Oreochromis niloticus: one gene and its partners. The protein of the gene in region 1 purifies or fractionates together with the protein of each later gene. This does not show direct contact. Links are inferred from orthologs where the notes say so. Each region holds a gene or a part of one and is shown in the gene's direction. Other genes may lie near its edges. The genes, in order: csgalnact2, slc30a1a and slc30a5.

Region 1 (7,709 bases):
AGCCTCTGAATTACTTTTTAGAGTGTTGAAAGGTGCTCCTCTTTTCAAGGTATAACCTCATGCTCCGATGCTGGAAGCAAGAACCAGACAAGAGGCCGACATTTGCAGACATCAGCAAAGAACTGGAGAAGATGATGGTGAAAAGTCGGGTATGTTGAAGCTATAAAATACCTTGTAGTACTTTATTTGTTTTCCTCCCCGGCAAGGAAGCGGGGGAGCTATAAATCAGCCTCTTTCTGTGTGTTACTGGCGCGATTTTGACAACACTTCAGTGATGATCTGACAGATACAAGTTTGAGGGGTTTTATTTTTCCACTTTACGCTCCTTTCAGATTTGGAGCTAGTCTAAAATAAGCAGTGTATCATTTTTTAAGGACAGCATGTGCTTTGTCCAGCACACACACAGACACATGCTGTGTTATGCTGTATGAACTGTCACTCTCCCCAAAACTCCTAAGATACCATAATTAGTGTTTGAAGAGCAATCCTAAATGTGGCCTTGGGCAGTGTAATCACAGAGCATGCCAGTCAGGCTCCTGCTGCAGAAGTGAGGCTAAATATAGAGCGTTTGAGCAGATGGGAATGCAGGCATCCTATAACGCAGAGGGCTCGTTCTTCACTGTTATCAATACCAGATAATGAGCAAGACGCTGGATGCGGTAAAGAGAACAATTTGGCAGAAATGTCTGCTGGAGCTTGCAGTCAGTGCACGGGTCACTCGTCCGACCTTTGCATGCTACAATCCCCCTCCTCCTTAATCAGCCTAATCACACCCTCATCTGCTCTTGTCAGGATTACCTGGATCTGGCGGCGTCCACTCCAGCCGATGCCCTGCTGTACGACGACGCCCTCTCTGAAGAGGACACACCACTAGTGGACTGTAATAACGCCCCTCTCCCTCGAACCCTCCCCTCCACATGGATTGAAAACAAGCTCTATGGTAGAATCTCCCATGCATTTACTCGATTTTAGAAACAGGACACACTACACAAGCTCTCTTTTTTGGCAAGTTGTGATTGGCTTTTTTTTTTTTTTTCCCGTAGTCAAGTGTGTGTGACTGTGATCTAGGCATGCCTTTCGCTAATGCTGACATAGCTCCCATTTCATCGTAAATGAGAGGCTCAGCTAAAAAAAAAAAAAAAAAAGCTCCTGTGTCTTGACTTTTTTTTTTGTTTTATTCGGACCTGCTTCTAATGTACACAAGCACTGACCAAAAATTGCTATATTTGTAAATATTGAATATAAATACCCTTCATTCTTATTTAAAATCCACTCCTCATACTCATGCTTCATCTGCATTTTTAATTTGTAAATAGTTTTGTTTTTTTCCCCCATTCATTTCCACATTGTCCTCATCTCGTCATTTATTTGCACTGGAGGAAACGGTGTGTAACATTTGAAACAGGTCCTCACTGATTCAATCACTCATTGTGGTTTGAATTTCAGATTGTGATAAATTTCCTGTCTTTCTAATGTACATTAGCTCTTAATCCATTATGATGAACAGAGAAACAGTAAGGCTTTTGAATGCAACTCTCAGTTGACACTGATTACAAGTAGACAACATGTTGCATATTGCCCCAAGCGAAATGTAGGGGCAATAGTAACAATGTAGGCTTAATAAATGACAAAAAAAAAAAAAAAATTAACGAATTACATTATCATTTATTCTGTTGCATATACAATACAAAGCCATAACTTTACACTTCTTAAAATCAGATCAGGATTTGTTTTGGAGAGTTTTGTTTGAGAACCTTACTGTCTGCACGCTGTTTTTCTTTCACTGAGTGCAGAAAAATGATGTGTTCTCGTTTTTAGGCATGTCATACCCCAACTGGCCCGAGACGAGCCCGGTACTGCTCAACAGACATGATGCCACTAATCCGGTCTTTACAAGATATGCCAATGATAGTGTTTATGCAAACTGGATGGCTTTGCCTTCACCCGCAAAAGCTGTGGACAAGCTTGATAGCTAAAGACAGACCGACCCTGTAGAAAAGACGACTAAGTGGTATAGATGTGTATATTTCTGTAAGACTGTACATAAACGATCTGATGCTAAAGTTGGTTCCCTTTTATTTCTGTTGCACGGGTAAGCAACCTTTCCGACTGGGGTCTTTTTGCTGCGAAACCGGCTGGACCAACATAGACCATGCTTCACTCAGCTCTTCAGTATGTTAATTATTATTACCTCACTGGTTATGTCGGCCAAACTGTATCACTGCATGACTATTGTACCAGATTGTATGTCAGTGTCAATGTCTTTTAAGTGCCTGTGCTGCTTCTACAATAGCTTCCAAATGTTCATGTGTGACTTTGAAGTTTCAAGCCCAGGAATTAAAGGGGACGCCTTTACCATCACCTGTTGTAGAAAGCTGGGATTGAGTGGACGAAAACGAAATGCTGAACTTATTCTGAAAATTAAAAAAAAAAAAAAAGTTTCTACTTTAGAGGATTGTGCTCCTCGAAATGTCAAAGACCCTTTATTTTGTGTTTTTCCCACGAGATGTCTTGAAACTGGTCTCGCCAAAGAAAAGTAAAGCAGACATGTTCAGTGAATGGTTTTCTTACTTTTGCTCTTGTTTTTTCACATTGAAAACATCATCTTTTGAATGCCACTCCAGTGAAAGGACACGAGGATTAATGTAGACTTAATGTTATAGTTCACATTGTCCTTCACTGTAATGGCAGCCTTTGTGGAAAAATATGATTCTGTAAACCAACTCGTGTCCTTGCTGTTATGTTGTTATTATTTGTTATGTTCCAGTTATTAATAAATATTAAAAAATGTACAATGTCTGTTCCCCTTATATCTGTGAAAATAATTACAGTATGTTTAGCCAAAGTTCACCCCTCAAATATTATTTGTTAATTATACACAATAGAAAATATTTCTTTCTAAATTAGTATTAAACATTTAGGATGCCTGACCATTGCAAGGATTCTGATACTTTATTTCTATAAGTTTCAACACTGCTTCACATTTCTTTTGATTGTAAGCACATACAGTCACCTGCTACTTCAGTAGCTACACCTGTTCAACTACTTGTTAGCCCATGTATCTAATCAGCCAATCACACATCAGCAACTGAATGCATTTAAGCATGTAGACCCGGTCCAGATGACCTTCAGCTTGACCATCAGAATGACGACTTTGTCAGTGATTTTGAAAGTGGCACGGTTGGTGGCTGGTCTGAGTACTTCAGAAACTAGGAAATTGAGTGGGATTTTCCCCACACAACCAACTCTGAGGTTTACAGAGAATGGTCTGAAAAAGAGAAAATATCCAGTGAGCTGCAGTGGTCTGGATAAAAATGCTTTGAGCTGATGACTCGAAGCTGATAGGAAAACAACAGCAACTCAAATCACTATGCAGAAGAGCATTTCTGAACCCATTGGATGAGAGAAGATTGGATAGTCTGGACATGGTGGTGTAATAGTTTGGGGGATATTTGCTTTGGGCCCCTCAGTACTAACTAAGCATTGTTTAAACACCACAGCCCACCGATTTATTGCTGCTGATCATGTCTATTCCTTTATGACCACAGCGTACACATTTACCAATCGCTGCTTCTAACAGGACAATTTAACATAGGAAAAAGCTCAAATCATCTCAAACTGGTTTGAACATGACAGTGAGTTCACTGTACCCAAATGGCTTTCACAGTCACCCAATGCCACTTCAATAGAGCACCTTTTGTATGTGGTGAAATGGAGAATTCACATCATGGATGTGTAGCGTTATGCTGTTATGTGACTTTGGACAACATCTCTGAGAAGTCTTTCCAAAATTAAGAGTTAAAACAGTTTTGAACTCAAAAGGGAGTCCAAACCAGCCCAGTGAATATATATAATACTGAAAAGCAGATGAAGGTTTTGGTGTTGGAGTTGAAGCACGAAACTAGATCTGTACTTTTTAAAAATCTTTTTAAAGATACCCGATGTGTGTGTGTGTGTGTGTGTGTGTGTGTGTGTGTGTGTGTGTGTGTAACATTAAACGACCCCCTTTACTTTTTTTACACCTACACATAATACTGACTGGTTAGACCCACGTTACAGAAACATCATATGATTAAAATAGAAAGTACAAGGAAACGATTTGTTTATTAAAATAGTTTCTAAGACTATTTTCCGCAGTGATTCTGGCCTTTCAGATAACATCTGTCTTCTTCTCTCCTAATTAAGAAAATGAAAAAATAACGACTATAAACAGAATCCCACGAGAACATTTCCTGGCTTATTTTGTGCACCACAATGAGATCATATCACTTGTTTTCGAACATTAAACAAATTATGTTTCAGTGCTAATTCAATCCAGAGCTGTCAGCTAGTCCATCACCTCAGATAAGAGGTTTGCCTTCTCGGTCTGAACAGTGAAACGGGAAGAAAATACAATAATCTCTTAGAGGGAAGGTTAAATATAGCTTTTTTAAAACAACAGATTAACGTTGTTACGTTATTGGAAGATGCGGTAGTCTGTATGAGAGTTAAAAAAAAAATCATTGGTGTGTTCTAATAATAACAATAATGCCTTTAGAGCTACAATATAATAATAACGTCGTTATTTTAATAAAAATAAACAATATTATGAACCTGGAGGATCGGCGTGTTTGATGACGACACTCGTTAGACACGCTGCGATTGGTTAGTTTTTAACCGGAAGTAGGTTACAACCCACTCTTTTCTCTTTGCTCCGTGGCATTCTGTAACACAACCTACCTACTGCTGCTAGTTTAACACAAAATGCAACAGCTGTAATGAGGGGCAGGAATGGACAAAGACGGGATTAGGTGAGTGAACGTTTGGGGAATGCTATGATTAACAGACAGGCTTTCTAACGGGTGAGAATAAAAACCCGAAAGCGAAGTGAACCTCGGAACATCGCTAAGCTAGCAGCAGAACTGTAGCCATGTCCGGTTCGAATTTTTTCAAAATAAGGGGATGTGCTGCCTGTAATGTCGCAAATTTCAAAAGAATTGAAGGTGCTGAAATTTGCAGATATGCCACTAGGGGAAAAAAATCTAATTATCAGAGGTTTTGGGCTAAGAGTTTTTCTGGAAATATAGCTAACTTTTCTCTGTCGCCATACCAGTAGCTTAATTAGAGTTTGAAAGTCTCCCATCATTAGCATGACTTGGTTCTGTTGTTTTTTAGGCAGTCTGGTGTTACTTTGTCCTTGACTTAAGCTATGTTAAAATCATGCAGTGTCATGTTGACATGCTTTCTGTGAGTCAGCGGATGGTACTAAAGATACTTGTATGTGACGCAAAACGAAAAGACACATTGTGGCAGGGCTGTTAAAGCCCCCCCCCTCCATACTCCACACTCCCCTCCACACACACACACACACACATATACACACACACACACACACACACACACACAAAATCCCCCAAACTGTTTAACAACCACTTTTTAAAATCGGTTCCTCATTTTTGTGACATTTCATCAGCAGAACAGTTTTGCGTTAGACATTCTTTGTGCGAGTAGTTACAATCTGAAAGGCTCATATCTTAGTTGCCTTTCAGCATGTTAATAAGAATCATTAATATTTTATATTTCTGTGTTTGGTGTTAAACATTCAAGATCTCATTTTTAGAAGAAAGCATTAAGGTTAAAAAAATAAATGTACAAAAAAGTATTTTGACAGCTACGGCTTTTAAAACATCAGCACAAGCTCAGTTCCAGTTCTGGCTGGATTCAGAGCCCTGCTGATTTCATTATAGCTGTCTAGAGACTGATTTATATCTGGGTGTGAGAGCCTGAAAACAGTGTTACTTTGTAAGTGTAAGCCTGGAGCTGTGTGGCCTTCAAGAACCTGCTGCACATGGTATCTGGTTGATACGATATTAGGCGTGGAAATTCCTGAAGGCTGGCTTTTTACAAGGGATTCTTGACTGGTGAGCCTTGTGTGACATTTACCCAGCCTGTAATTCAAAAGGTAATCACAAATCGGCCTTGGACGCTGTGTGTGTTTCACTTGTTTTGTCCACTTTCATTCCAAGAAGGTACCTCTCGGAATCTGGAGTGTTTGGTCTTGCCGCTTTGCACAAAGCCCGTGCATTTATTTTGAAGAGAAAAAGGCTACACCGGAAGTCAGCCTGTAGCTAGCTTTCTGTGAAGCTCGCCCACCAGTTTCCTTGTGTGTGCTGTTGTTTGGCTGAGAGCTAGCTGGCGTGTGTTAGCTGTCCAGGTGTAGCTAATCCCTGCTGTCCCTCCTTCCTCAGGTTTAAACGGAATCTTTGAAGTGAAGAAGTCGGATGCATGTTCAACAGAAACTTACTGACTGATGGAAACTGTAGATAGCAGGTTGGTTTATTTGAAAGGTTGCTTAAAGGTAACACATTAAATGTCATTGTATGATTATCTGCTGTTTTGTCATCACTGTTTTTAACAAAAGTCCCTGTATTGGGATCCTGGATTGTGGCTTTTTTTTTTCCTGATTGTGGATTTCTGTGTTTTTAACAGCTGATCGTTTTGTGGATTTACACAGGACCTATGTGTGGAAATACTGATGCATTGGAGCCAAAGAACAAGATCTCTTTATTCCAAAATTACCTACACACCCATGTCTCTAAGATGATGTATAGAAACCTGTTTTAAGTAATGTGAGCAGTCTGGGTGGCGAAGGGAATGCAGGCTTGTCAGCTATAGCTTTTATGAGAACGTGATGCCCAGGCGGGGGTTGCCACTCCAGGGTCGGGTCCGCTGGCTCTTCCTGGGTCTTTTTCTGCTGCTGGTGTTGCTGCTGTTTGCATACCTGCTGGAGTGCACTCCACCAGCAGACGTCAGCCTGATCCTACCGGGCCCTGTAGGAGAGACCTATGGAAAAGAATACTACCAGGCCCTGCTCCAGGAACAGGAGGAGCGCCACCTGAACCGTGCTGCCAGTCTGAAGCGGCAAATTGCCCAGCTTAAGCAGGAATTACAGGAAATGAGCGAGAAGTTGAAAGTTCTCCAAGAGAAAAAAGAGCTTCCAGGAGTTCCGGGTCTGGCCGATAAAGACCAAGAGCCTGGAGATTTGCTGGAGTACTTGCATTCTCAGATCGACAAGGCTGAGGTCAACACTGGAGCTCGCCTACCAAGCGAGTATGCCTTGGTGCCGTTTGAGAGTTTTACTTCTTCCAAGGTGTACCAGCTGGAAATGGGGCTGACGCGGCACCCAGAGGAGAAACCAGTCCGCAAGGACCGCAGGGATGAGCTGGTGGAGGTCATCGAGGCCGCACTAGACATCATCAACAACCCTGACGAGGAGGATGGTGTGGAGGATGATGTGCCAATGCAGAGGCAAACCTACACAGATGGTCACTTTACTGAAGGTGAGACTCTCAGTTAAATTACAGACTAAGAGGTAATGACTGTAGCCAGTGTTCAAAATGAACCTTTTATTAACAATTTCCACTCAGTGAAGAGACTCGTTGAAAAAAAAATTCACCAGCAAAATCTATTTTTAACGATCCAGAATAATAAACTGAGCCTTTGTTCCAAATCTGATTTGGTTAGTACATTTTATTAAGATAAAGGAGCACTGGGTTGCACTGATATACACTATCTGACTAACATTGGCCAATATTGCCTATTGATTGATGTTGGCGTATGACAGTTATCAGATTTAGTGAACAGTCTGTATTTAGTAATATAAATTTTGCACTGGTTAAATGTTCAAATTGTGTGAGCTGCAAGACTTTAACTCTTTACCCTCTGAAAGC
Region 2 (7,968 bases), on another chromosome or scaffold:
TAATCTTTGTTTTACTTCATGATAAAAAAAAATAGGGACAAATAGCTTAATAAGCATTTAACACTATCTCTTTTCTTCTGTCAGGAACAAATAAACCGGATGTCATACAACGAGAAGTCCGATATTTGGTCTCTGGGATGTCTGCTCTACGAACTCTGTGCCTTATCGTAAGTTTTCCAGCTGTTCCGCTTTAGCTGATTTTCCCACTGCAAACTGTTTGGCTGCAGATCTTGCAGTTTTTCCTGCATTTTTCGTTTTCCTCTCCAGGCCTCCTTTTACTGCTTACAACCAAAAAGAGCTGGCAGAAAAGATCAGAGAGGGGAAGTTCAGAAGGATCCCGTACCGGTACTCTGAGGAGCTGAACACCCTGCTCGGCAAAATGCTCAACTTAAAGGTTGGAATTGAATTTATTTTTAAAATTTACACGATATGGTGCCTGAGCTATTGGATTATTTTAGACGGTATAAAAGATGGACTGCATGTCCACATCTGGAAAAGGGAATCCTGTGCAGAAATACTTCAAACCTTGCATTCTTTCTAACAGCCTGCAGGGGGCAACTGCTCTAGTTTTAGTGCTGTCCATGGCAAACTGGCCCTCAGCTCCCTCCCTAAACACTTTCCTCATGACTTTATGGAGTCAAGTGCTAGTTTTAGGTCATTGAATAAAACGTGAAGTTAATTTTATAAATTCTAGTTAAATGAGAACTCTAAGCACTTTTTACCACCACCCACATTCACCCATTCTCACACACATTCATACGGTGCCTTTAGGTGCTTTTTCTAACTTTCTCACGCTTGCTCACTCTCCGGTAGATCCTGAACTGGGCCAATTTGTTGTTCAGTATCTTGTCCAAGGACACTTGACATGTGGATTGCAGCAGCCAAGATCAAACCACCCACTCTACAAATAGGGCAGCTGTAGCTTTACCTCCCAAGCTACAGCTGCCCTGGAGTAGAATCAGAAAAGAGGTTTATCCGGGGTACACACACACCCTGGATAGACAAGCTGTGACAGTGAAAACATTGAGCTCAAGGCTTTAAAATTTGATGTCATGGTGGCTACATCCATCTTTTATGCGGTCTATGGTTTTGCACCGACGTGATGCTGGTGTCTGATCTGGAATGGTTTCCAAACATTTCCACCCTTAAAGTGCCATCAGATATCTGCTCTGCTAGCAGCATTACATAATAACTGGACCTCAAACTTATGGAAATGGGGACTGGTTCTCAAAATGGAACCACTGGCAGCTACACTAGCACCACATTGGCAGGAAGAAAAAAGGCTATTTATGTTTCATTTATGGGCCCCTTCTCTTGGCAGGACTATCTGAGACCTTCTGTAGAATCTATTCTCCAGAGCAGCCTGCTGAGCGAGGCGGTTGCTGAGGAGCAGAGGAAGGCACAGTCGCGACCCCAAAGGAGATCGGCTGATTCTGACGTTCCCCTCCACAAACCGGGTGAGACGGCGCCCGCCTCGGCCACGGAGCTCAGACTGAAGGAGCAGGCGCTGCGGGACCGAGAAACAGCACTGAAAGAACGTGAGGAGCGGCTGGAGAGTAAGACCTGTTTAAGCCCTGCTTTGAGCCGCACATAGCTCAAGCCTACGTCTGTCAGTATCGCTGTAGTCTGGCCTGGATTTTGGGAGAAATTAGAAAAGCTGTGGATTGTATTTTTAGTAGAGAAGTACTTAATTTACATCAGTTTGAAGAGGCTAATCCTAACAGGAACATCCTCTTCTGCAAAGAGGACTCATCAGTATTATCTCATGTTTATGGACTTGTTTTCACATTGGCAGCAATAAGTAAAGTTGAGTAATACCCTAGAAAGTACTAGTTACATCTTGTTTAGAGGGTGGAAGTGTAGTTGAAGAAACCTGTGTGGATGGAACAGGTTTGTTCATGTTGCTTGGAGTGTTGCAACCGAACGATGACCTACTTCTACACCTACAGCTCCTGGCTGACAGTGGAGATTACACACCGCAGTGTAAAAGTGTGTGTACCCAGAAATATGTCCAAATAAAAGACTGTTAGTCACACATACAGCTATGGTAAAAATAAAATGCCTCCTCTTTTAATGCTAAGATTGTGAAGACATAATAAAACTTTTAAATATTACCTGATTTTTTTTTTTTTATTTTTTTTAAGACCCTCTGAGGATGTCTCGATGTTTAGACTTGAAAGAGGGTGTACTTTCTTTAAAAGTGAGGGATAAATTCCCAAACTGAATCTGTCCATTTTTGTCTTTTAATGACAGGAAGAGAGCAGGAGCTGTGTGTTCGTGAACGACTTGCAAATGAGAAGCTCGCACGGTAAAAAACTTTTAAGATGGAAACGATTTAAGCGATTCTTTTTTTTTTTTTTTTTTTTTTCCATTCTAACCATTCTTTGGCGGTCTTTCCAGCTGATTTTTATTTTTTCCCCTTTATTTTTAATCGACCGTTTCAGAGTGGAGAGTTTGCTGAAAAATTACAGCCGCCTACAGCACCACAGGGACCTGACACCGATCAATGACAAAGACATAGGTATGGGAATCCAGCGAAGACTTCTGAACTTACTGAACCAAGACCAGAGCCGAGCAGTTTATTTTTAACATGTGTTTTAACGCATGTGTCGACAATGTGAATGACTTTGGATCAAATGTATTTATTTTTTTATATAAATTGTAAATATTTTTTATACAACAATAAAGAAATTATTTTTTAAAAAGGTGCAGTTCTAAAAGCTCACACGACACACTTCAAAATCACAGCTGTTGAGATTGTGATTTGTTAACAAGTTTACTCGACTGTTTTGGTCTAGATGCGGAGAACCTCTCTCCGGGTAAGAAGAAGGTCCACTTTGCCGGTGAGAGCAAAGAGAACCAGCGGCCCGATGCTCTGCAGAGCACGCCGTCCCAGGAGCTGGTGCTGCTCAGGAGGCTGCAGGCAGCGGCCCAGCGGAGTCAAGCTCTGAGTGAAATGGAGAAGATGTGCCAGCTCAAGAGCAGGCAAATCCTCGGCCTGCGCTGATCGCACAGATGTGACCGTGAAAGCTTCTGAAGGCCTGGAGTCATAACAACTGGATGAAAATGTTCATGTGTAGCTGTGGACGTGTAGTGAATGTGTGTGTTCCTGTCTTATTTAGTCTGATGAGTGAGTGTGTTATCACGGGCAGCTAATGTGATTATCAGTGTACTGTGTATAGTTTTTTGCTGTATTTATGGCTGTAGACATAAATTCTTTAGAGACATCTCTAGAAGAAGGGAGACTATGTGGAATGACATGATCCTGTGATGCCAATAAACAAAGTGATTGTAATCATTACTACATTAAAGTAGGCATGATGTGATGATAAATACTTGTTCTATACCATATTTGGGATTTTTTTTTTTTTTTAATTTTTGCATTTTTTTTTATAGCAGTTGAAATGATGATGTAATTATTTTAGTATCTGCCAAACAGATATGGTATTATAGAACAGAACAGGTATTATAGAAGGAAACAGGAAGTGGTCTGAGAGGTGTTCTGGTGGCAGTGGAGCTGAATCCTGTTAGAGAAGATATTCTGCTGCCTGTACAGTAAGTTGTGCAGAGGGTTTAGATTATCCATGATGCATAACTGACTGATTAGTGACCTCACTTCTACCACGGCTTCAAATGTGTGGTGGGGCCATTCACAGTCAGCCTTTCTGAACTGCTTACAAAAACGCAAAGAGAAGTTTGTCTTTTGATTGAAACATTGTTACCACTTGTTGAAAATATGCACTCATACCCTGATACAGGGGTGGGGGAACTCCATGCCTCAAGGGCTGGTGTCTTGCAGGTTTTAGATATGTCCTTAATCCATCACAGCTGATTTAAATGGCCAAATTACTTCCTCAACATGTCTTGAAGTTCTCCAGAGGCCTGGTAATGAACTAATCATTTGATTCAGGTGTGATGACTGAGGGTGAGAGCTAAAACCTGCAGGAAACCAGCCCTTGAGGCCTGGAGTTCCCCACCCCTGCTCTAATATGTGTGCACTTGATATATAAACAAGCAAAAATGACGGATAAATGAGGAATTCTTTATCCACTCAGTTTGTGTGGAAATGTGGGCTTCTCTTGTTTGTTGCCTAGAGACATTACAGCTGTCTATGTTACTTTAACAGGGATAAATTTGTTTGCCCGGCCAGAAAAAAAGAATCTGCCCTGGGGTCTATCACAGGGCTGTTTTACAAGTGGAGTCGGATCTCTGTAAACCAACTCCTATATTTCATATGTATACAGACTGTAGTGGGTCTAAGTTGGGCCAAAACTCATTTCTACTGTGGTTTTTCACACTGGCGTAGCAATAGATGTATATAAAAAAGAGATAGATATACAGGCTGATCATTTTCACAGTAATAGAATTGTTTTTATATAACACTAGCTCCCACAAGGGGTCATCACTTTTCCATGAAAAGAGATTCAAGTGCAATTTGCAATCAAGCCTTTGCTTTGAGTCAGTAGCAGATTAGATGTAATTTATTGTTACATTTGTCATTATTTCCATTGAAGCTGGTAGCTTACTGGCTTGATTAGCGAGTTTTTTTTGTTTGCTAGTTTGGTTGTTTTTTTTTTTGGGGGGGGGGGGGGGGGGCAGCTTGTATTTAACTTAATGTAAAATTAACTAATTTTACAGCGTAAGTATACGGACTTTTGGAAAATAAAATATAAAATAAAGGAAGCAATTACAGTATGTAGATGGAACACCAGTAAATTTATTAAGGGATTTTCCGTGATTAAAAGCTGAGTAAAGACCAGTGATTGTGTAAAAAAAGTGTTTGTTACTGGTAAAGGCTCAGTTTTTGTCATTCTTCGCAGTCACCTTTTTTTTTTTTTTTGAATACGCTTTATTGACAAAGCACAAAATACAGATATGCAAATACAAAATAGCAAACACAATGTCAGGGGGTTCGTATAAAAAAACCAAAATAGACACAGTCTATTAAAGAATCACATGATATTGAACAGGGAACATAAGTTTATGGTTTTGACAGCTTTTAGATATTGAGAATGTTGTATGGTTTTAACATATTGTTTGGTTTCATTTAAAAAGCACTGAAAGGATTCTTCGCAGTCACCTGGTTTCAGCTGAAACGCCAAGATTTACGAATCAGTTACGGACCTCATCGCGATATTACATTTGCCATTAGCGTGCGTAGCAACCGCCGTTGTTTGGCTTCTTTGCGCCGCCTACTTGCAAGAGATGCAGAACGTGACCAATTACGTTCCTCCTTGTAGCTCGTCGACCAACGAAAATCGTAGTAGGCGTGTCCCCCTCTGTGCCGTGTTCCGTGTGGAAAGTTTACCGGCTCGGGTGCAAAGTTTCAGCCGTCTGCAAAGCGGAGCTCGTCGGCAAAACGAGCGAGGAAGGTGCTGGTATTTATACGGTTGCTGAATCGTTTTTTAATCGCGAATTGATTCGGTGTGTGTTTGTCCTCAGATGTAGCCGAGTGATGCTGCCGTCGCCGAATAAGAGTGTTTTACGCGGATGATATTAGCAGCGATCGTATTGTCACAGGGAGCCAAGCTAGCTTAACGCAACCCGGAGTTAAACGGGAAAGCCAACCAGCGGATGTCGTGGGGATTTCTTGGTCTTTCTCAAACCTGCTGATTTCTTCAACGCTAACTTAAACTTGAATCGACTGTGAGGAAGGAAAAATGGCTTGCGAACCCAATCGTGCCCGGCTGCTGTGCATGCTATCATTGACTTTTGGGTTTTTCATCGTGGAGGTGGTGGTCAGTCGGATGACCTCGTCCCTGTCAATGCTGTCGGACTCCTTCCATATGCTGTCGGATGTCATCGCACTCGTCGTGGCTCTAGTGGCGGTCCGGTTCGCCGAAAAAACCCAGGCGACCAACAAGAACACCTTCGGATGGATCCGAGCGGAGGTGATGGGGGCTCTGGTCAACGCCGTCTTTCTCACGGCGCTGTGCTTCACCATCGTCCTGGAGGCGGTCGAGCGTTTCACCGAGCCCCACGAGATCGAGTCTCCAGTAGTGGTGGCCGGGGTCGGTGCCGCGGGGCTTCTGGTTAACCTGCTGGGGCTCTGCTTGTTCCACGGCCACGCGGGCGGAGGCCACGGACACTCCCACGGAGGGCACTCTCATGGTAGTAAGAATAAGCGGGGCAAAACGAGCAAGAACTCGAAGGCTGGAAACGGGTCTTCGGGAGAGGAGACCAACAACTTGGTAGGAAATCACAACAGCCCAGGCGATGGGAGACCAAGAAATGGTGAGCAATAAGAGTTGTTGGTGTTTTAGTGTTGAAATGAACAGTCCACCCTCACTGTCCCACCATTAATCTGAATACATGTGCCAGACTTTATCTTCACTGTTAGCACTCCAGATTGTGTAACAGTGCATCAGTTTATCTCCAGCCTGCCCTGACAACTCCCCAAGTGACTAATCCGTATTGGTTTTTTGGGTTTTTTTTTCTTGACATATGTTTGGCGTCTCATATTTGTTGGGTCATTCTATCCTTGGAAACATGGTCTCCGTGTTGGTGACATATCCGGGCAAAGAATCGGGTTTCACTCTGGCTTATAATTAAAGATAACGAGAAGTTTCTGACTGACACAGTTAAGTCAAACTGAACTCGATGGTCAGTTTTTACCTGAATTTCCACGCTGACTGTGACCCCCTGAAGAGCTTAGTGAGTTACCTTATCTGCTAAATAATTAGTAACTAAAGCTTAAAAATAAATGCAGTGAAGTAGGTAGGTGCCCACCCTTTACACTCACCTGGCTGTCAGCTGTCAGCAAAGAATCAGAAGCTAAACAAACTCATCTGCATACAGACAGCTTTTATTTTAACTTCTTCTTAATTTAATTGTGCTTCTACAAGGTATTGAGTGGATGGAAAACTGGTCAAGGGCCAAAGCGGGGCAGCAGCTGGCCAATCAGCTTGTCCAGCATACATTTTTGTTACATTAAACGCTTCTTACCAGACAAGCTGATTGTTTTCAAAGTACTGATAACCTCCTGTTCGTGTCTACATGTCAGTTAAAAAGTTTCACAGCAGCCCTGGAGAGCTTCTGTGCCCCTTTCTGCTGGTCAGTCTAACTGAAGGGTTAAACATACAGAAGCTCATTTATTCTCCCCCCCCCGCACTGTTAGGCCCTGCCAGTTTCAATAAATGGGGGTTATATCCCCCGCCCCTCCATGCACTGATTGCTGTTACTGGGCCATACATCAGTGGAGCCGTGGAGCCGACAGCCCCAGACACACCATTAGCCGCTGATGAATGGACCAGCTTGGTCCCTGGAATGGAAGCGAGCCACCGTTGCTCAGGTGCCGTTGCCCCAGCTTAGTGTTGCCACGCCGCCCGCCATTACTAACTGAATTTGCCTAATGTGAATTACTGAGCAGCATTTTGCTGCGTTTAGGTTCCTGCATGCTGGTTTTTTTTTTTTTTTTTTTTTTTTTTTTTTGTCATCTGGTATGTTGTTTTCCTGAGTGTGGCCCTGGGCAGTTATATAGCACAGATTCAGTCACAAGATGTAGTCTTCAGCAGTGAAATCTGCAACATTGTTATGTAGTTTCACATGAACTTTTCCCCTTTCGCTCTTAATAATGGTACCGTATTTAACAGCTGGCTGCCATTTGATGGCATCCAGGGTTTTTACCAGGAGAAAAACAAAACCGAATAGGGTTCACTGGGAGTTTTTGACGAAGTGTTGGAAAGTGGGGTTTAATGTTATTCAAAACTGAATACATGTTTTCTTATCACATGACCAAAAACAACAGGACAATGCACAGAATTCTGTTGTCAGGTGACATGATTTTTTTCCCCCGTCTTAAGTGTATGATTAACAATCGTCCAGTGTGCATCGTCCCCATGCTCAGAATGGGCCCTTGGGGTGGGGGGGTGGGGTATAAGCATAGTCAGTCCAGACAAAGGGACTGTGTTACCTTAGTCCTTGCAATTTCTTACAATTTGATAACCTAAACTGTGTTATTATGGTTTA
Region 3 (7,972 bases), on another chromosome or scaffold:
CAGATTGCCCACCACCAGGCAACTTTCAATTGAAAGTGGTTCTCTAGATGTTGAGGGGCTTGAACCCTTGGTATCTGTCACTGAATGCAAAAAAAATCTGTATTATTTTTGGACAACCATATAACTGAGTCACAATTGGTCTAAAAAGGCAGTGTTCATATAGAAAGATAACCTTCATATGTTTAATTTAAGCTCAAAGATGATTACAGTGAATAGTAGTCCTTCATGTAGATCATGCTTGTGTGTTGCAGAAGCTGGCTGACGATTTGAAAGCAGTTCTGACAGCACACTTGGAGGTCATCTGTCTGGGACTGCTCATGACACCAGCTCACTATGATGCCTACGAACTTAGGAAAGCCACAAAGGTAGGATCTGTGGTTTATGTACTAAACCTTTGATTTGGGGCAATATTACTTCTTTTGTTTTAATTCATTAAGCAGTGTTATAGTTTTAATTTTTTTTCAGTTCATTAAGAGGTTACGTATTTAGACTAAGTTTATCATTTAGGTTGTGTTACTATGAACTGAATTAAATGGTGATCACAAATTTGCTAGTGGGTTCAGTATGGGCCAAGAACCCTCCCAGCAGCACACTGAACCATAGTTTGAACTGAAGGATATTTTTATGCTAATGTTAAGGAATAGCTAAACATATTGATCAGAATAAGTTATAAAAAAACTACTTAGTTGTAATTCTGTTTGAGGGATATTTAAATAAATATTTTTTTCTTTCTGTTTATAGATTTTATTATTTTTGTTATTTGATTTATCCAACAGGGTATGGGCACAGATGAGGAAGTTCTGACTGAGATTTTGGCAACGAGAACAAACCAAGAGATTCAAGAGATCAAGAAGGCCTTCAAACAAGGTTTTATCACAGTCATGTGATATCACATGGTTGTTGTTTGGGTTTACTGAACTAAGATTGAATTTTATACAACATCTTAGATATCTAGCTGACACTCATAAGTGTCTCCAGTGTCTGTAGCTGCTAGCAAGCTAGACTTATTGTAGTCACATTTGGCCATCATATTGTTGTAAACTGTTACCATTATTCTGAAATTCTTCTGATTCCTCAGAGTACAAAACAGAGCTGGAAGAAGTTATTAAAAATGAGACCAGTGGCAACTACACCAAGATCCTCCTGGAATTACTAAGTGGAGGTAGAGATGAGAGCACTCGCGTAGACAATGATCTTGTTTCAAAAGACACAAAGGTAAATTCATGTAACCAAAATCTTAAACTATTTTGCTTTATGTTGTCACCAAATTATGTGAGAAGATGTTTTGATGGTTCCTATCTGTGGCGTTTGGCCAAATATGGACTAGTTTCTCTTGTGCACATAATGTAACAATCACAGAGGGTATAAAAGATGGTCATTAATTCAAACATGTTGTTGGTGGACATTAGCACACTTGGTTAGCAATCTACACCCATAAACTGTGCTTTATCTGCTAAGTACCAAACTAATAAAGCAGTCCTTTGTATCAGGCTGTAAATATGTTTATTAGTGTAGTAATTCTAGGGACTTTACCGTGGAAGTCAGTAGCTGACTTTTGCAGCCAGTCTCATGTGGCCACTAGAGGAACTGCAGTTAAGTATAAGTCATTATGATTATCATCCATTTTTTTGTCTGTCTGTAGACGCTGCTGACATTATGTGAGCAGGGCAGCAAATTCAACGTGTCCACCTTCATTGACTTGATGACCAAGCGCAGCTATCCTCACCTCCGAAAAGGTGAGTTCTTGAAAAGTCTGAACACTTCTTCTTGGTTGGGTTTGACTCATTAGACACAACGTACATCTAGAAAAACAGGTGGAACCACACTCTTGCAGGTAGGAGGTGAAACACACCCAGCAGTGTGAGAACAATACAGAGTCAAAGTCAGTCTGGATTTTAAGTGAGTTATGAAGTCTGTTTACTATTTAAAGCTGAGGAATTTGGAACTAGTCCTTCTTCTTAATTATCCACCCCACTTTGTGCAATGTATGTATCAGTAGCAGCAAAACAGTCCCAGAGCTTGATGCTACCACTGCTGTGCTTGACACTTGGTGCAGTTTTCTTAGGTTTGAAAGCCTCAGCTATACTCTTCCAAACATACCTCCTGTCACTGTGGCCAAATAGCTCAATTTTGTCTCATCAGACCATGAAACCTTTCTTGAGAAGGCATTTAGCGCTTCCATGTGGGCAGCTGTAAATTTCAGTTGAACTTGAAGGTCTTCTTCCAAACCTCAGCAAAATGGTGACCCTTCTGAATAAGTTGTATTTGCATAGAGTTGTTTGAACTGATGATCCTGGAATCTGTCGTACAATCGCATAAATTTCCAATCGAAGCTGCTGTTGGGTGAAGTAATGCGGTATTTGCTTTCTTCTTTTTTAGAACTTCAGTCTAATGTTTCACTGTTCACTAAAATCTGAATGTTTATGTTTATAAATATTTTAAAACCTATTTATTTCCTCAGCTGCTAATTAAATATGCTGCATAGCCTTAAGAACATATTTGGATTTGGTCTAATAACCCAGAATTACCTGTTTGTCTGTTTACCTGTTAGTATTGGAGGCATATAGCAAACAAACGGACGTCAAATTACCCACAGTGCTGAAAAAGGAGCTGAAAGGAGACACTGAAAATTGTCTCATCGACCTTGGTAAGTTGATGTTTGTCCTCATCAGATTATGTAGTTTTCATTTTATTTTCTGTTCAAGGTGGGGGTGGGCTGAGGTCAAAGGACGTGCGAGTGATGAAATCCATCCTCTCGTGAGCAGGAAATGTGTATCACAAATGTGATGCCATAGCACGTCTTGTGTACATTTAGATCAGGAAATATTTAAGATTGATTATAACCTGAAAACAGATTTCCACGGTATGGGCTATAACACAGCTGTGAGGTAGCATCTGGACTCAACTTGAGATCATTTTGTAACTGTTTATCTCTCTTTGATGTCCATAGCAAAATATGCCTGGAACACACCAGCTGTCTTTGCCCAGAAGCTTGTTAAGGCTTTAGAGGTGTGTATTTTTTTTTTCCGTGTGTGTGTGTGTGTGTGTGTGTGTGTGTGTGTGCGCTTGTGTGTGTATTCATCCATTCAGATAAATGTACATTGATTTATGTATTTTAAAAGGAAGGTTCAAGTCTGTGAGTAGGCTGGATGTCTTAAACTGTTCAAGCAGTTTGAAACTGAGCACTTCTGCAGTATCTACATTGCAAAACAGATTCACTTTTTCACTTATTTACTTACTTCACTTACTTGTTCCCTCAAAAATTAAGTCCCCTTAAAGACTTAAGCTATATTAAGTATACAGTACTTAACAGCATACCAAATAACAGCACTAGTTTGTTTTAAATTTACTTTATATAACCTTAGTTTAACAAATGGCATTTAGAAAATGCCACGATGAATGGCTTAGACTTTTGCCTCAGACAGTTGAGAGTACTTGTAAATACTATTTAGTTGTGTTAGGATACTGCACAGCTACAGGAACACCGCGAGTTGCTGAAGGAGTCCGTACTCTTGGCCACCCAAAACACTGAAAGGTTAACTCTTGAATAAGTGTTTGGAGCTTAACGCCAACATAACGTCTGTACAGCATAACCTTTTAGATTATTTTTTACAGTATTCAATAACCAAAACTTTGCTCTGCTCTCACAGAAACCAGGCACGTGTGAGAAAACTCTCAACAGGATACTGGTGAGTCGCTCTGAGGTCGACCTCAAGAAGATCAAGGAGGTATACTGGAACTGTCACCAAAGATCCCTAAATGATGACATAGAGGTAAAAAAAAAAAAAAAGCAAAACACAAAAAACCCATTGTTATTATGTTGCTTTTACTAATTGTGAACTCAAATGACAGCATACAGTATCTGAATATTTCAGCTAATAATATCTTTGTTCCACAGAAAGACACCAAGGAGCACTATCGGAAAGTCCTGCTTAGCCTGTGTGGAGCTTTTTGAACTTCATCTGTTACCATTTTACTCTGGAAACCGAGACCAACTTATTCCACTAAATACTCACAGCTTTAACTCTGAAATGCATGACTACTCTGTTCTTTTGAGATTAAACTTTAATAAAGAAGTTATTCCAGCACCAAGCATTTCATGCCTTCTTTCTGGCAAAATGTATTTCTTCTTTTTCTTTTAATGTCTTTTGAAAGATAACGTATGAGGAAGTTGTAGAAATGTATATTAAAATATATTTGGTTATTGGAAATGCAGAAGATAAAATGGGAAATCAAGTACAGTATTTTCTATTTAATCTTCAAAATCTTTACTTTGTATCAGAAGTAAGGCTTTTATATTACATAAGCCCATAGCCTCCACCTACTGGCAAAACCATCTAGGGTTAAAATAAAGTTTTGAATTGGTTAATATCATGCACATTTTTTTTAGTGCTTTGAAAACACAAAATGCTTTTTTAAAAACAACAACAACAAAAAACAACAACAAACAACAACAAAAAAAACCCAAATCTCCAATGCCAAAATGTATGAGACTTTTATTTGAAAGGACTGAAAAGAAATGTGGTATGTTTTGCATCTGGTTAAAAAATTGCTCATAACACTGAGTGGTAAGCAGCATTTGGTCCCAGATAGCAGCACTTGGTTTACGTCTCCCAGGAGACAAAATATGAACTCAAAACTCATTGCTGGAAACCCACAGGAGAAACAAAAACATACAGAGTAGAAGAAAAACAAACCGAACAGGCGAAGCAGAGGAGCACACAGCATAAACGGAGGACACGACACAGGACAACTTTTTAAAATATGTTTGTATGTTTCTCTAGAAAGAAAGAAAGAAAGAAACGTCGAAAATGTTTATAAAAAGTATATAAAACAACTTTCTAAATAAAGTTTAAAAAAAACCCTATCCTCATCATCTGCGCAGGCGCAAGGCTGACGAATAACTGCACGTGACGTGGACAGTTTACCGTGTCCGGAAGTGTCGTGGCAACACGGGCAGCTTGGGTGTTTGATTTTCTTTATCCTGTCATTGCGGATTTTCTCAGTTATTGCGGCCACTTCAGACTCATAACTTTTCATTATCTTTTTCTGACCGCGAGTCCACATGCGCCTGGGTCACGTGAACCGTACACCGAGGACGTGACGCCACTGGAAACTTTGGGGGAAAAGTGGCTAGCTAGCCGGCTAATACGCTAACAAGGCTACCAGCTGATTGTAGTTTACACATCAGACACTGACGGGAGGATGAATAGGACGCAGAAGAAGCCCGTTTATTTTCTCCGGCAGTGAACAGACAGTAGTTTAAGCTGACTCTCCCGCCAGCAGCGATGTAAACGATGCACAAGTAACAGATGTAACTGTCGGTGGAGTGGAGCTGGTGGTTTGGGGAGCTTGAAAATGGAAGAAAAATACAGCAGCAACGTGCTCTCAGGGGGTCAGCTGGGGATGGTCGAAGTGCCCGATTCCAGGTATGTTCTCCACCCTTCATTAAAAACTCAGTCAGTTTAAACTGATTTAACTGTTTTTATGTCACGGAATCAGTCAAATCTCATCCATGAGTCTGTAGTCCATATGTTAGCGTTTATGAAGAATTGATTACGCTATAAATTGTCCACAGCAGTGGAAAACCCATTATTATTTCCCATTGTTTGTTGTGTCCGATATTTGCAACCAGACACCATAGTTAAGAACACTATGACAAAAAGTGTTCAGATTTACTTATAAACTAACAGTCATTACATTATTATTAAGTATTATTAATTAATTAGTATTAATTATGCCCTTAATCTGAGCGGTATGTTGGTATAAAAACCTTCAAGATTGACTCTAGCATGCTATGTTTTAGTGGACATCTAAAAATTATCAGGGGTTGTCTAAGAATTGGTTTATCCAGTCTGTTGTGTCACGGGCTGTGATGCTGAATCACCAGCAGACCACAGCACATTACACTCCATTCACCACAACTAACTGAGAAAATCTTCAAACTATAGCTTAGGAAATAGAGCTTGATCGTTTTCTTCTTCTATACACCCTCTGTCGTTGACTTCCAGTTCATCTTGTTGTAGATGTGGACACATGGGTACTTGTATTCCTCCACCACATCAACATCCTGTCCCAGGATATGCACAGCTTAAGTTGTTCACCATCTCTCTGGTCTTATTCACATTCAAAAGCAGATCATTCCTCCTCCTAGATCAGCGGTCCCCAACTTTTTTGGGCCATGGACCGGTTTATGTCTGACAATATTTTCACGGACCGGCCTTTAAAGTATCGCAGATAAATACAGAAACAGCATAAAACCAGTACCGGTACAAAAAAAGATGTAATAATAACACAGGAAAACACCCAGGGAAACAGAGTTAATGATAAAAAACGGTAAAAAATAACGATTAAAACCCTGAAAACCATGCATTTCACACCCGAGTCTCAACTCTCACGGCCCAGTACCAAACGACTCACGGACCAGTCCATGGCCCGGGGGTTGGGGACCGCTGTCTTAGATCACACCACAAAAGACTTAGAGAGTCTCTCTATGTCTAAAATCATTCAACTAGTGCTCTGTACTCCTTCTCCTGCCCATGACTAATGAATCCAATCACTGCATAATTTTCAGTGTTTCTGTAGGTGGCATGACGTGTTGTTATGTTGAAAGTCTGAGATGCAAAAAAGGAACACACAGACTCTCTTTAAACCATCAGTGAATTAAAGTTTTTCTTTTTACCTGTCTCTACCTCTAATATGGTCAAGACAAAAAGAGATGGTGTTAGATTTTAGGAGGGGCATCAGTGTAAATGACAGTTGATTTTACTCTTATCACCACAGTCTGTACTAATGTGTAGTGTGTTCTTTCCTTGTACAGGTTAACCAGGTACATTGTTCTGCTGGTCATCTCGAAGGTCCTCAAAGCTCTTGGGATCTTTGAGTCATACGATATCCTCAAAGTGGTTCACATAGTTCAGTTCATCTTCATACTGAAATTAGGGTAAGTACTCTTTGTTTGTTTTATGTATTATTGTTAGTTAGGGCTGCTCTGTAGTGACAAAAATCTTAATTACAGTTATTCTGGTCAATTTTTGTTGACTTCACACACTTGCTCAATAAGAGCGATGAATAGATATTTAATGTCCATCATCTCAGCTGAACGTGTTACCAGCTGCAGTGAGTGAGTTTGAGGTTTTTGAGGTGGAGTTAAAAGACAAAATGTGATTATTCACCAAGACCTTTTGCTAATTTTGTATTTATGGATGGTGAAAACATGCTGATACTTTTTTTGGTTGTTTGTTTTGGTCTTAGGAGTGCAGTGTTTCTGCTTTTTTTCCAAAAACCTTTTTCATCTGGAAAAGTCATCTCAAAAAGACAGGTTTGTTGGACTTTACCTTTTAAATTTGTCAGTTTTTCAACCTCTAATTTTCCTGTTCTTTTTCCTGTTGTTCATTAGCTTGAACACGTGAATGTTTGCTAAATATTTGGTGATTTTGTTATAGCCTTTCTTATATATGTCATGCTTAAGATATTTTAAGTCTGGCTTTGCAAAAGGAAAAAAAACACCTTGTGCATTGTGTTAATGTCTGTTGATGAATCTGCTTTCTTTGCAGTGGATAAAGTTGTTAAAGCATGCTGTTTTCAGCTGTGTCATATCCCTCCTGGGCTTCTTCGGCCTAACTCTTTGTGGACCTCTTAGGTAAGAAGTAGTTAAACAGTAGTTAAATAAAACAAAATGCAGCATTAGAGGTGCAGGAAAAACAGTTCAAATCCCTCCCCGAGTCTCATTGTGTTTCTTTGGACTAAAAATGGTTGTTTGGTGGTCTCTTGAAAGAAACAAGACAGTCAGGTCAGCCAGAGGTGTACAAGGACACAACCCTGCTTTGCCTGGCAGAATTTCCACTAGAATTATTTGACACCTGTCTTTATGTCTTTATATTTGCATGTTTCTTCAGTTAGTACAGTAGCATCTCATTTTACACAGCTACTTTAAAGTGGTAATTTAATGTAGTAAGCAAGTATTTTACTT

Evidence for each region.
Region 2: the proteins of csgalnact2 (region 1) and slc30a1a purify together in Homo sapiens (co-immunoprecipitation; 3 studies listed by BioGRID and IntAct, counting the BioPlex papers as one, with this or other methods). This does not show direct contact. The link is inferred for Oreochromis niloticus from reciprocal best matches to the Homo sapiens genes CSGALNACT2 and SLC30A1.
Region 3: the proteins of csgalnact2 (region 1) and slc30a5 purify together in Homo sapiens (co-immunoprecipitation; 3 studies listed by BioGRID and IntAct, counting the BioPlex papers as one, with this or other methods). This does not show direct contact. The link is inferred for Oreochromis niloticus from reciprocal best matches to the Homo sapiens genes CSGALNACT2 and SLC30A5.

What each region holds. Positions count from the first base shown.
Region 1 is NC_031978.2:25,404,186-25,411,894, reverse strand, and holds the start of csgalnact2 (chondroitin sulfate N-acetylgalactosaminyltransferase 2), read left to right. Parts: upstream 1-4,643; 5' UTR 4,644-4,790; intron 4,791-6,116; exon of another isoform or gene 6,117-6,227; 5' UTR 6,228-6,337; intron 6,338-6,468; 5' UTR 6,469-6,670; coding exon 6,671-7,319; intron 7,320-7,709. Other genes in the region: proto-oncogene tyrosine-protein kinase receptor Ret, read left to right, coding at 50-149, 793-940, 1,819-1,976. UniProt on the Homo sapiens protein: Transfers 1,4-N-acetylgalactosamine (GalNAc) from UDP-GalNAc to the non-reducing end of glucuronic acid (GlcUA). Required for addition of the first GalNAc to the core tetrasaccharide linker and for elongation of chondroitin chains.
Region 2 is NC_031980.2:13,547,092-13,555,059, reverse strand, and holds the start of slc30a1a (zinc transporter 1a), read left to right. Parts: upstream 1-4,910; 5' UTR 4,911-5,660; coding exon 5,661-6,234; intron 6,235-7,968. Other genes in the region: serine/threonine-protein kinase Nek2, read left to right, coding at 85-167, 268-394, 1,322-1,556, 2,254-2,308, 2,445-2,521, 2,799-3,007. UniProt on the Homo sapiens protein: Zinc ion:proton antiporter that could function at the plasma membrane mediating zinc efflux from cells against its electrochemical gradient protecting them from intracellular zinc accumulation and toxicity.
Region 3 is NC_031972.2:31,370,430-31,378,401, forward strand, and holds the start of slc30a5 (proton-coupled zinc antiporter SLC30A5), read left to right. Parts: upstream 1-4,899; 5' UTR 4,900-5,358; coding exon 5,359-5,429; intron 5,430-6,820; coding exon 6,821-6,943; intron 6,944-7,254; coding exon 7,255-7,321; intron 7,322-7,556; coding exon 7,557-7,642; intron 7,643-7,972. Other genes in the region: annexin A1-like, read left to right, coding at 252-365, 777-867, 1,079-1,215, 1,643-1,736, 2,552-2,647, 2,951-3,009, 3,651-3,773, 3,899-3,955. UniProt on the Homo sapiens protein: Together with SLC30A6 forms a functional proton-coupled zinc ion antiporter mediating zinc entry into the lumen of organelles along the secretory pathway.